2 linked regions of the Yarrowia lipolytica genome follow. The protein of the gene in region 2 purifies or fractionates together with the protein of the main gene of each other region. This does not show direct contact. Links are inferred from orthologs where the notes say so. Each region holds a gene or a part of one and is shown on either strand. Other genes may lie near its edges.

What was found.
Region 1: the proteins of YALI1_C25829g (region 2) and YALI1_C17680g purify together in Saccharomyces cerevisiae (affinity purification with mass spectrometry, with the first as the bait; 4 studies listed by BioGRID). This does not show direct contact. The link is inferred for Yarrowia lipolytica from reciprocal best matches to the Saccharomyces cerevisiae genes APL3 and APM4.

Annotation. Positions count from the first base shown.
Region 1 is NC_090772.1:1,766,247-1,770,633, forward strand, and holds YALI1_C17680g (uncharacterized protein), read right to left. Parts: upstream 2,671-4,387; coding exon 2,548-2,670; intron 1,791-2,547; coding exon 531-1,790; downstream 1-530. Other genes in the region: YALI1_C17700g (uncharacterized protein), read right to left, coding at 3,022-3,777. UniProt on the Saccharomyces cerevisiae protein: Component of the adaptor complexes which link clathrin to receptors in coated vesicles. Clathrin-associated protein complexes are believed to interact with the cytoplasmic tails of membrane proteins, leading to their selection and concentration.
Region 2 is NC_090772.1:2,581,318-2,586,444, reverse strand, and holds YALI1_C25829g (uncharacterized protein), read right to left. Parts: upstream 3,505-5,127; coding exon 3,399-3,504; intron 3,306-3,398; coding exon 544-3,305; downstream 1-543. Other genes in the region: YALI1_C25789g (uncharacterized protein), read right to left, coding at 5,020-5,127. UniProt on the Saccharomyces cerevisiae protein: Adaptins are components of the adaptor complexes which link clathrin to receptors in coated vesicles. Clathrin-associated protein complexes are believed to interact with the cytoplasmic tails of membrane proteins, leading to their selection and concentration.

The sequences.
Region 1 (4,387 bases), about 820 kb from region 2:
TGGTAAAGACCATCTCAATGGTGTCTACTCTCGAGTAACTGGCGAGGGATGAAGACAACACGGGGTACACTCACTCCAGATCATTGAATAACTGGAGAATTGTGGGGACGAGAATCTGTTGCAACTTCCAACCCTCACTCTGACCGAAACCCAGCGGCGAACGACTCGGCGCTCCCGAAAGCTGACTGTAGGTACCACCGGAAGACAAGGAAGTAGGGGAAGTGAAAGCAAGGATCACAATGCTGAAACTGGCCCAAAAAGTGCTGGGCATTCAGCCAGCGAAACTAGATATCAGGTGCTCTGGTTTTCTCCAAGTTTCGGTGCAAATTTTCTGAACGTTAGTGTCGTTTCTGTTGCTGACTGTCCAATGCAGCTGTTTTGTCTAGGCGCGATGGCCTACGTGAATTGTAGGTAGATGTATCGCACATCGTCGGTCGTCAACTATTCGCCAGAGTGCCAGTATTACTCCACTCCTTCACGTCAGTCAATCCATATTGTCCATTTTGTTAAATTACATCCATACTCCTCCATCAAAATCTAATCTCGTAGCTTCCACCCTTCATCAAGTATCGTACCCACTTAACGGTGTTGTAATTGCTCTTCTCAAACACCTTGAGGTACCTCACCACCAGACCGGAGCACGTGATCATGGTGATTTCAAAGTCCATCGAAATGGGCGGCTTGTTCCACGGCGTCTTCTCCGTGGTAAATGTGAGTTCGGCTGTGGCTCGGAGAGAAATCTCAGAGCCTCCACTGATACGCGACACCTTCCACACAATCTGGTTGGTCGACGAGTCGTACTTCGCCTTGCCGTTGGATGCGTTGATGGTGGTTTTTGCCGCGTTTCGAGGCGTGGGAATGTTGATGACGACGTTGGTAGCTGTCTGCTGCTTGGGGAAGTTCGCCTTGATAACGATATCGTATTCGACTCGTGACTTTCCGACAATCTGCACACTGGGGACCACCTTGAACGGGATGCTTAGGTTCTCCACGCACTTGTAATGCATGAGCTCAAATTCACCATCTGGAGGCACAAAATTGATCGACCGGTCGTGGTCAAAGTTATTCAGCTTGACACAGTGGTGGAAAACACAGTCCTGTAGACCCACAGAGCCGGTGGGGGCAGTGGAGCCACGTCTGCCACCTCGCTTGGACGATCTAGGGTCGTCCTCGTCGTGCTCCTGGTCGAGACGAAGAGTATCGTTCAGTCCAAAAGTGCATTCTGGCACTCCACTGAGTTGCGACTTCATGTGAATGGTTCCATCGACATTAGCAACAAGCACAGAGCCGGTGGGCGAAATGAGTAGGTTGACCTTCTCGACAACATCCACGAACATTTCGTTTCGGTGATGCTTGACGTTGTCTCGTCTCCAGGGAGTGGCACCTGTGATTTGCGAGGTGATGGTCTTGGACCGTTTGAGAGCCTTCATGGATTTCGATCTACTCAGGGCGTCGGGAACAGACACAGACACGGCGCTGGAGCCAGACTCGCTGCCACTTCGCTTGGCCTCCGTCTGAATATACTGCTTCAGCATATCCATCTCTGTGTTTTGGGGAAGGCCAAAGTCGATCATCTCGTCAAGCAGTTCGTAGACCAGAGTGAAGTTCTCCTTGACGCTCTGCTCGTTGAAAGAGCCAAAGTAGGATTTGCCGAGGGCGACAATCTTGTAGAGGAACTCAAACACCATGCCGGCATCCACGTTCGACCGGTTCACCGCAACGACATACATGTCCTCGGACTTGCAGTGCATGAAGGAGGTTGAACCAATGGTAAGAATCGGTGATCGTACCTGGGTTAGTAGTGAAAGGGATGGTGGCTGTAATCGCGAGTTGAAATGGGTGAGAATCGATCTTCATGCCGGAACGAAGCATGAGATACGACTGAGAGCACTCCATATAAAGGTAGGGTGGCTGAAAGAGTGGTAGCAGCTGGACATATATCTGGTTTTGCTGTAGATGTCACTCGTTGTCTCGGTGTCGCATAAGGAAGCGGAGCCAGAAGAAATCGAATCATGAGGGATCACGCTGAGTTTTTGAGCTAGTTGAACTAGTCGTGAGATGAGCAGAACTATGCCCAAGTCAGATACGTTGCTGAAACAGTATAGCTTGTGCTTCGTGAGCTTAGTAGCAGTTGTAGAATCGATATCACCGTATGGTTGCAAGGCGTAGTAAAGGGACTCAATCTCTGCCCCAATGGCGGTTTTCCTCTCAAGAAGAATGTCCTCTCTCACACACGTCCTTCATCGTCCTCTAAGAGAGCATAGACATGGCACAAAAGAGAACAGACCATCATAAAACAATCATAATGACCACACTTTCCCTGTCAACACCTATCCAGCTGTTAGCAGTCAGAGTCAACCTCTATTAATCCCTCCAGCTCAATCTCCTGAGCATTCGCGTCACCACACGGTCACTGGTCGCGTGATGGTCGCAATTTTCATCATAGCAACTCATACACGGCCATGAGCCTTCCATTGCAACATTCCCTCAGTCGCCCAGTCGCCCCCATCAATTTCGTGCTCCAATCCTCCTCCCTTCGGTACTCACCTCGGGATTACTAATGACCTGAATTCGAAAGACATCGGCAATGCTTCTCCGCAACCCGTCGCGGTAGAGACGCGAGATCAGCACCTCGCCCTTCTGGTTGTACAGTAGAATAGCCGAAATCATGGTCAGATGGCGGGCAACACGTAAGCTCGTGACAATTAGCGCATGCACGATATGCACCCCTGCGTGTCTGACTAAGCATAGTGACTAAGCTTGATGATTAAGCTTGATGATTAAGCTTGATGATTAAGCATGTAGGTTATGTGAAGGAAAATCTCTAGATTTGTTCTATTGTTTTCACGTGATTTGAAATTACAAATGAAATACAGATGTACAATACAATGCACCTAATGCATGTTCTAGTGTTGTCGACAGGCAACGGGCCATGGTATCTTGGATATCCCAGATTCATGGCCACTCACATTTCCCATATCCATCTATTCAACTTACTTAGTCCGTTAGTATAATCATGACTCACCACTCAAGAATCATATCGCCAAAGGGCTTGCTCTCATGCAGCTCTCGAACAAGTCCGTTGACGTTACTGAGATACTTGCCTAGCATGATCTGCTTGTCCTCGGTCGTCAGGCGGTACACATTGTCTCTCAACATGGTCTGTCGGTACAGAGTCTTGGATTTGTCCACGTTCTGCCTGGTCTGAGTCTCGGGGATGAGGTAGAAGAAGAGAAACTCGAGGATCTTGAGCTTCACGTCCTTGGGAGTCTCCTTTCGCTTGAACAGCGTGCAGATGGTGGCCAGGCCTCCCATGTGTTCAAACAGTCGGATGTTGGGCACTTCACGCAGCAAACAAGCGACCAGCGCTCGAATCGTCACGTCAACGGCCTGGGGGGTTCCAAGCAGCTTGATGAACAGGCCCATGTTGTTTTCGGTGGCAAAGATGCGCCGACTGGGTTGATGCAGCAAAAGAGCTCCTCGAAGGAGATCGATGGCAAAGGGGAGATGCTGGATGGTGTCTGCGCTGGTAAGCATGCGTTCAATGGTCGTCACGAGGTTAGATGCCACATTATACTCGAACGACTCCTGCAACTGCGAGTACTCCTCGAAGTTGGAGCATAGATCAATGTTGGACGTCTGTCGAGCAGCTCGAACCAGACTCTTGAAAATCGATCGGATTTGCTGCAGACCGGCGTATATCCGCTTGGGCGACGACGACGTTGTGTTTGTAATCGCCGTGGAAAGAGAGCTCTCCATGATGAAAGGTCTGTCCATGGCTGGTGGACAATCGCTGTGGGTGCTGCGTACAAGTGTGTCCAAATGGTGTGTTCAAATGGTGTGTTCAAATGGTATGACCAAATGGTATGTAGCAAGTTTGGTACCGATGGGTGATGTTTTGGGGCAGTCTAAGACAATGTTGCAGTCGTGTGCGGATCTCTGTTTTGCTATGTTTGACGTTGGTCGGGAATGTTGATGTTTCTCCCAATTAGGCAGGTTGCCTGCCGATACCACTGTTGTGCATGTTAGACGCAGGGCAGACCAGCCTCCGCGCAGTTGCCAGTTCGAAGCCGGGCAGCGTAGTGGATAAAGCGGCATGAAACATGGGGCTTTAAGGAGCCGGCGTCAAGTTGCAAGTCTCGTTGCACGTTTCGTGTAGTACTGCTGACTTGAAGAAAGTGTTTAGTCAGTGGCAGATCACATGACAAAGAAACCTTGTTTTGACAGTTCAGGAAAGATGCGCGTCGACTGACAGTGTGTTCGATTCGAGCCTTTGGAGGGTAATAAGTGCGGATTTGAGGAAGGGTTGGTTGGATCCGGCAAATCTGGTAATTGCAATGTTTTTTTTTTTTTTTTTTTTTTTTTTTTTTTTCAATATCTTCGAGTA
Region 2 (5,127 bases):
CCTCTCTTGTCGCCATCTTTTAGCTTTCGAGCTGAGACAGGTGATGAGGGTGTTCACTCAACACGAGTAAGACAAGCGACTTGCTGCTGTGAAATTAGTGCTCCACGACGCTTAGATGCATGGCAGTTACCAGTAGCCGAGGTAGATGGAGCACACTTCATAGTGGTGGTGTTGGGGTGTTTCTGGGGCAATTGTCAATTGTACTGTATGTGCGGTACCCGTACAGTAGAAACACTCAATGAGCCCCTGCTCACTTGACTGCAAGTACATACATCGGTAGTACGAGTACAAATAGAGTCAAAGTACAGTAACTAAGTATGGGTGTACTGTACTTGTACAGCCCTGACAGAATGTGCACTCCGATGTACTCCTCCTGTTCAGTTCATCCCAGTGCCAGTGCCGGGAATTCAACCTCTTCTGGGACGGTTAGGCCATGTGACACAGCAGTACATACAACCACTGCTTCCAGGTATAACACTCACGATATCATTAATAAATCATTCATTCATTCATTCTATATTACGCTGTGTTATTTCCCTATGCCTACATAATGTCCTGGTAATAATCGCTCATACACTTGCCCACAATGGCGGGCAAGACCGCATTGGTGCCTCGAATGGTGATGCTAAACTGATTGCCCTGCAGCTTTTGAAGACACCCCAGCAGTCCAAAGTTGCCACTGACAGATGTGTAGAGTACTCCTGCGCCGTAGATGGCGTCCCGAGTGCTCTGCTGAGCATCAATGGACCATCCAAAGCCCTTCATGACCTTGAGGTTATGAGCAGGGTTGGCAGACTTGGAGATATCCTGGGGCTTGAAGATACGCCGACTTTCCTTGTCTGCCAGCTGGTTCCATCGGTTCTGGAAGTCACCTGTGGACACCTGGCTGGCGGTCATGAACTTGGAAATGACAATAGGCAGCTTGAGATGCAGCACCTTGAGGGTTCCAGCCATGTACGTAATCTTGATGGTGGGCGACGAGGTGAAGGGTTTGTGGCAGTTGAGGATAATAACCTGCTGGGTCTGCTTGTTGGGCTCGATGGACGAGTCCGGGAAGTTCTTGGTGGACACCGTCAGGTTGTCAGGCTCCTTGTTTGTGATTTCACACGACAGAGATGAGATCTTGGTGCCCGAGTTGTTGACAAAGTACAGAATTACACAACCCAGGTTCTTTCTGTATTCGGACTTGAGACCCACCTGCATGACAGGGTCCTTGAAGAAGGTGCCTTCGTCCTTGATGCACAGATCGTAGAAGCCCAGATCCCAGTTGGGCGACAGGCCGGAGTGGGAAACGCCTCTTGAAGGAGGGGGAGGGGGGGTGGTCTTGTTTCCGGTAGTCACGTTATTTTCGTCACCAAAGGGAGACGCAGAATCCGATCTGTTGGACGAAGAAATCTGGCTGTTCTTTCGCATGATGCTCTTGGACCGAATGGCGTCAACCTCGGACTTTCCAGACTTGCCCAGACCCCAGGAACGCTGGTCCTGAGAGGTAAGTTCTCGAGCATGCAATCTAGAAAGCAAAGCAGACGTTCGGCCTTCGAATGGAGGCATCTCATCGCAGATAGTCTTCAGAAGCTCCGGTTTCTGGATGATTGACACGTACTCAATGGCTCGTTGTTGAATCTCAGAGTCCGCACTGGAAGTGTACGCCGTGAGAACTCGTGAGATATGCGGTTTGATGTCTGGGAACATGTTAGCCAGCTTGATGTAGGTAGACAGCAACATAGCCTTGGTGGGCGCAGACACCTGTCTGAAATGCGAATGCAGGTTGTAGAAGAGCTGGATGGGCTGGACTTCTGTTAGCAGGTCTCCATACTCGCCCAAGACGTATGCTCCGGTCTTGACCATGCATTCCTGACACTGGGGCTGCGCGAGATAAGTGTTGAGAGTCTGACTGGCGTACTGCTGGAGAGACTCGTTGTTGACGACAATCTGAACGACTCGCTGCCAAACTTCTTCGGACACGTGTGCCCCGGCAACAGCAATCAGCTTGAGCGAAATGTCCACATACCACTTGTATTCAGTTGCATATTTTTCAACCAGAACGGCAATCTTGATGACCATTTCTTCTCTGATGGCGAAGTCAGCAGTAACAAGGTATCTAAGCAGCTCGGCGACGATAGTCTTGACGTTGGACGAGTCACAGACACAGTAGAGCACATCCAGAGACTTTCGTCGGATAGAAATGTCCTTGTCCTTGAGGTTTCCAAGCACCGTAATGAGAAACTTTTTGACAGGAAGTGCACTGTTTTCCGACATTTGCGACGAGACCTCGTATCGAGCAGCCAGACGGGCCAGGGCTGTGAGGGCCAGGTATCTTAAGTTTGTCTCCTTTGACGAAATAAAATCGCCTAGGATAGACAGCAGCTTTGCATCGGGAGCCATGTCCATATGAATACACAGGTTGATAGCCTCAAACAAGACGGCATGCTGGGCGTTACTTTGTTGCGAGCTCTGGGCGGGTTGGGAGCACTTATCCACAGTTTCGAGCACAGTCTGGCGCAGCATGTCGGTGGTAGTCTCGTTTGCAGCATCCGGAGGAGGGTAATATTGCAGGAGCTTGAGCATCTTCACTAGCAACCACGGCGACTGGACTCCGTAATAAATATAGTCTCTGGGCGCCTGGTTGTTGACACACAGGTCGTAGAGTCGTCTGACTACTCGGATATGGGAAGTTGCACAGGCCTCTGGGTCGTGTTGAACCAAAGCAATAGCCAGAGAACAGACTGAGGTAGCCACTCCAAGGTCCGGATCGTCAATCAGAGCAATGATTCGGTCGTACCATTGGGGCTCCACAATATTGGGGTTCTTTCGGAACAGTCGTAGCAGCGCCAAAGAAGCCTTCTTCCTCACAAAGGTCGAACTGGTAGGCGAAATCAGCAGTTTGTACACGTCGTGGTTTAGCTCGCTGCCCATCATCTCGCTACCCACCGTAGCCACCAGATGAAGCGCCAGACAGTTGTGCATCTCGTCCATACCATCCAGGTCTTTCTGCACAGAGTTGATCACCATATGCACCAGTTCGTGATCCTCATTGATGAGCACCGACAGCGCAATGTATCCCATTTGTTTCTCGCTCAATTTCGTCGAGTTGATGAGCTTGACACACTCCAGGTGGCCAAAGTCCACCTTGTAGCCCAAAATGTAAATGTACAGCAGCTTGCCCACGTACTTTTTCTTTTGGTAGCCGCTGAGATTGGGGTCCGTGAACTTTTGTCGGATGTTGGCCAGCTCCTGGTTCACTCGTTTCTCTTCCATTTCCCGAGCCCGTGCATTTCTCAGATCCGCAATGAATTGTGTCAATCCTGGGTTAATATGGCGAATGACTGACATCCAGGTCTTGATATATTGTTCTCAATATCTTCCTACCCTCTCAGCGTCTACGGACGCCTACTCACCCTTCATATCCTTCTCTTTGGGCCGAATCAGCTCGCCGAGCTTCTGCTGGCTCTCCTTGGGCCGGATTTTTCGCCCAATGTTTTTCAGGTTTTTGATTTCCTCCATGGTGGTTGAACAGGCCGTGGTGAGATAATTTCAGCTCTCTCTATTTACACGACACGCAGCTCGGCAACGTTAACCTAAGCGCGAATTTCCATCACGTGCCTTACGCAGGGGTGAAAATAAGGGGGCCCGTTACTGCGGGAAGTAGCGGGCGGATTTTGCTCGCAAGAGTCGGAATCAATTCATTGAGCTATGGAGATTACTTCTATCCGCTCCAATTCCGTCAAAAGTGTCCCCAACACCCCGTTTAACATATCCCCCGCCCTCCTTGCTCTATCCTAAACTTGCTTCGGATGGGCCCGTCTGATAAAGTTGAAGGTTGGTCAAAGCCAGCCATGTGTCTTTTGAGAACCAGATTTGACACCTGTCTGGTGTTTCGACGCGTTTCTGGCGACTGCCAGTTGGTTAGAATTCGCTCCAAAGTTTTCCAGCTCCCAATTCTTGCGTCGACGCTGTTTCACTCCGTCTTGTAGCGGCCCAGATGGAGATAACCGCCTCACATAAGTAACTCTGACATGCATGAGCAAGGTGGAAAAATGTGCACCAATATATTTGGAGCATTCCAGCCGCGACTTGTCGCACTTGCACTCGTAGTCGTACCAAGCTCGGCAGCTTGACTCACGTGACACATGTTTCTCCACTCACGGTCGGTCCACAACCCCTCCATTCTCGTACTCGCTCATTCTATACATGAGCCAGGCGGAGCTAACGCAGCCGGAATAAAGACGCAGCGTTAACACGCCCGTAGCACATGTCAGAGGCGCAATTTGAGACATGAACTGAGCGTATGAACGCAACAACTTGACTATATACAGTAGTTTACAGATACTCAAGGCACGTATAACGATAATATTCATCCCGAAAGATAAGATATGTGTTGGATAGCCGTCATAATACAACGGTATCAGTCGATCGACACATGTTAGGGAAAAAAAGCCGATGCTGGACTGCCTTTATCATTGAAGCAAGGAAGTACATTTGTTTCTTAACGGTGATCGCTAGAACGTTAAAAGGGAACAAATACCAATTATTAAGGCAATAGAAGAGTAATTTGGCACCATTTGGACATCTATATCTGCTCAAAATCTCATTTCAACCTCTTTTTTTTCCCACCGTTTTCCCATATTACTAATCATACAACGTAGACCAGACCCAAAAAAACACCGTTTTTAAAGTTGTTGATGTGGTGGCTCAATGGTAGAGCTTTCGACTCCAGTCAACTTGGTTGTAATCGAAGGGTTGCAGGTTCAATTCCTGTCCATGTCATGTTAATGACAGTGGAGGAACATTAGCCGGTTTGATTCCGGTGGCTTCTCAAAGCTGATCAACAACTTTTTGTCCTCTCGGATTGCGACGGTATGGTTTTTTTTGCGTGTTTTTTTTGAATATTGTACAAGTACATAAGCGTAGTTGTGTACTCACAGGTTTTTTTGTTCCTATTAAAAATTCATATATACAATCCAATCTCTATATACACCAATCGACTATGTCTCTGTCCTCAAACAGCTCATTCCATGACTAAGCAAAAATGCTGTCGACAATGGGCTGGATCTTGTCGGGAGTAACTGCCTCGTACTGATCCACCTCCATTGTGAAGCTACCCCGACCCTGGGTCATGGATCGCAG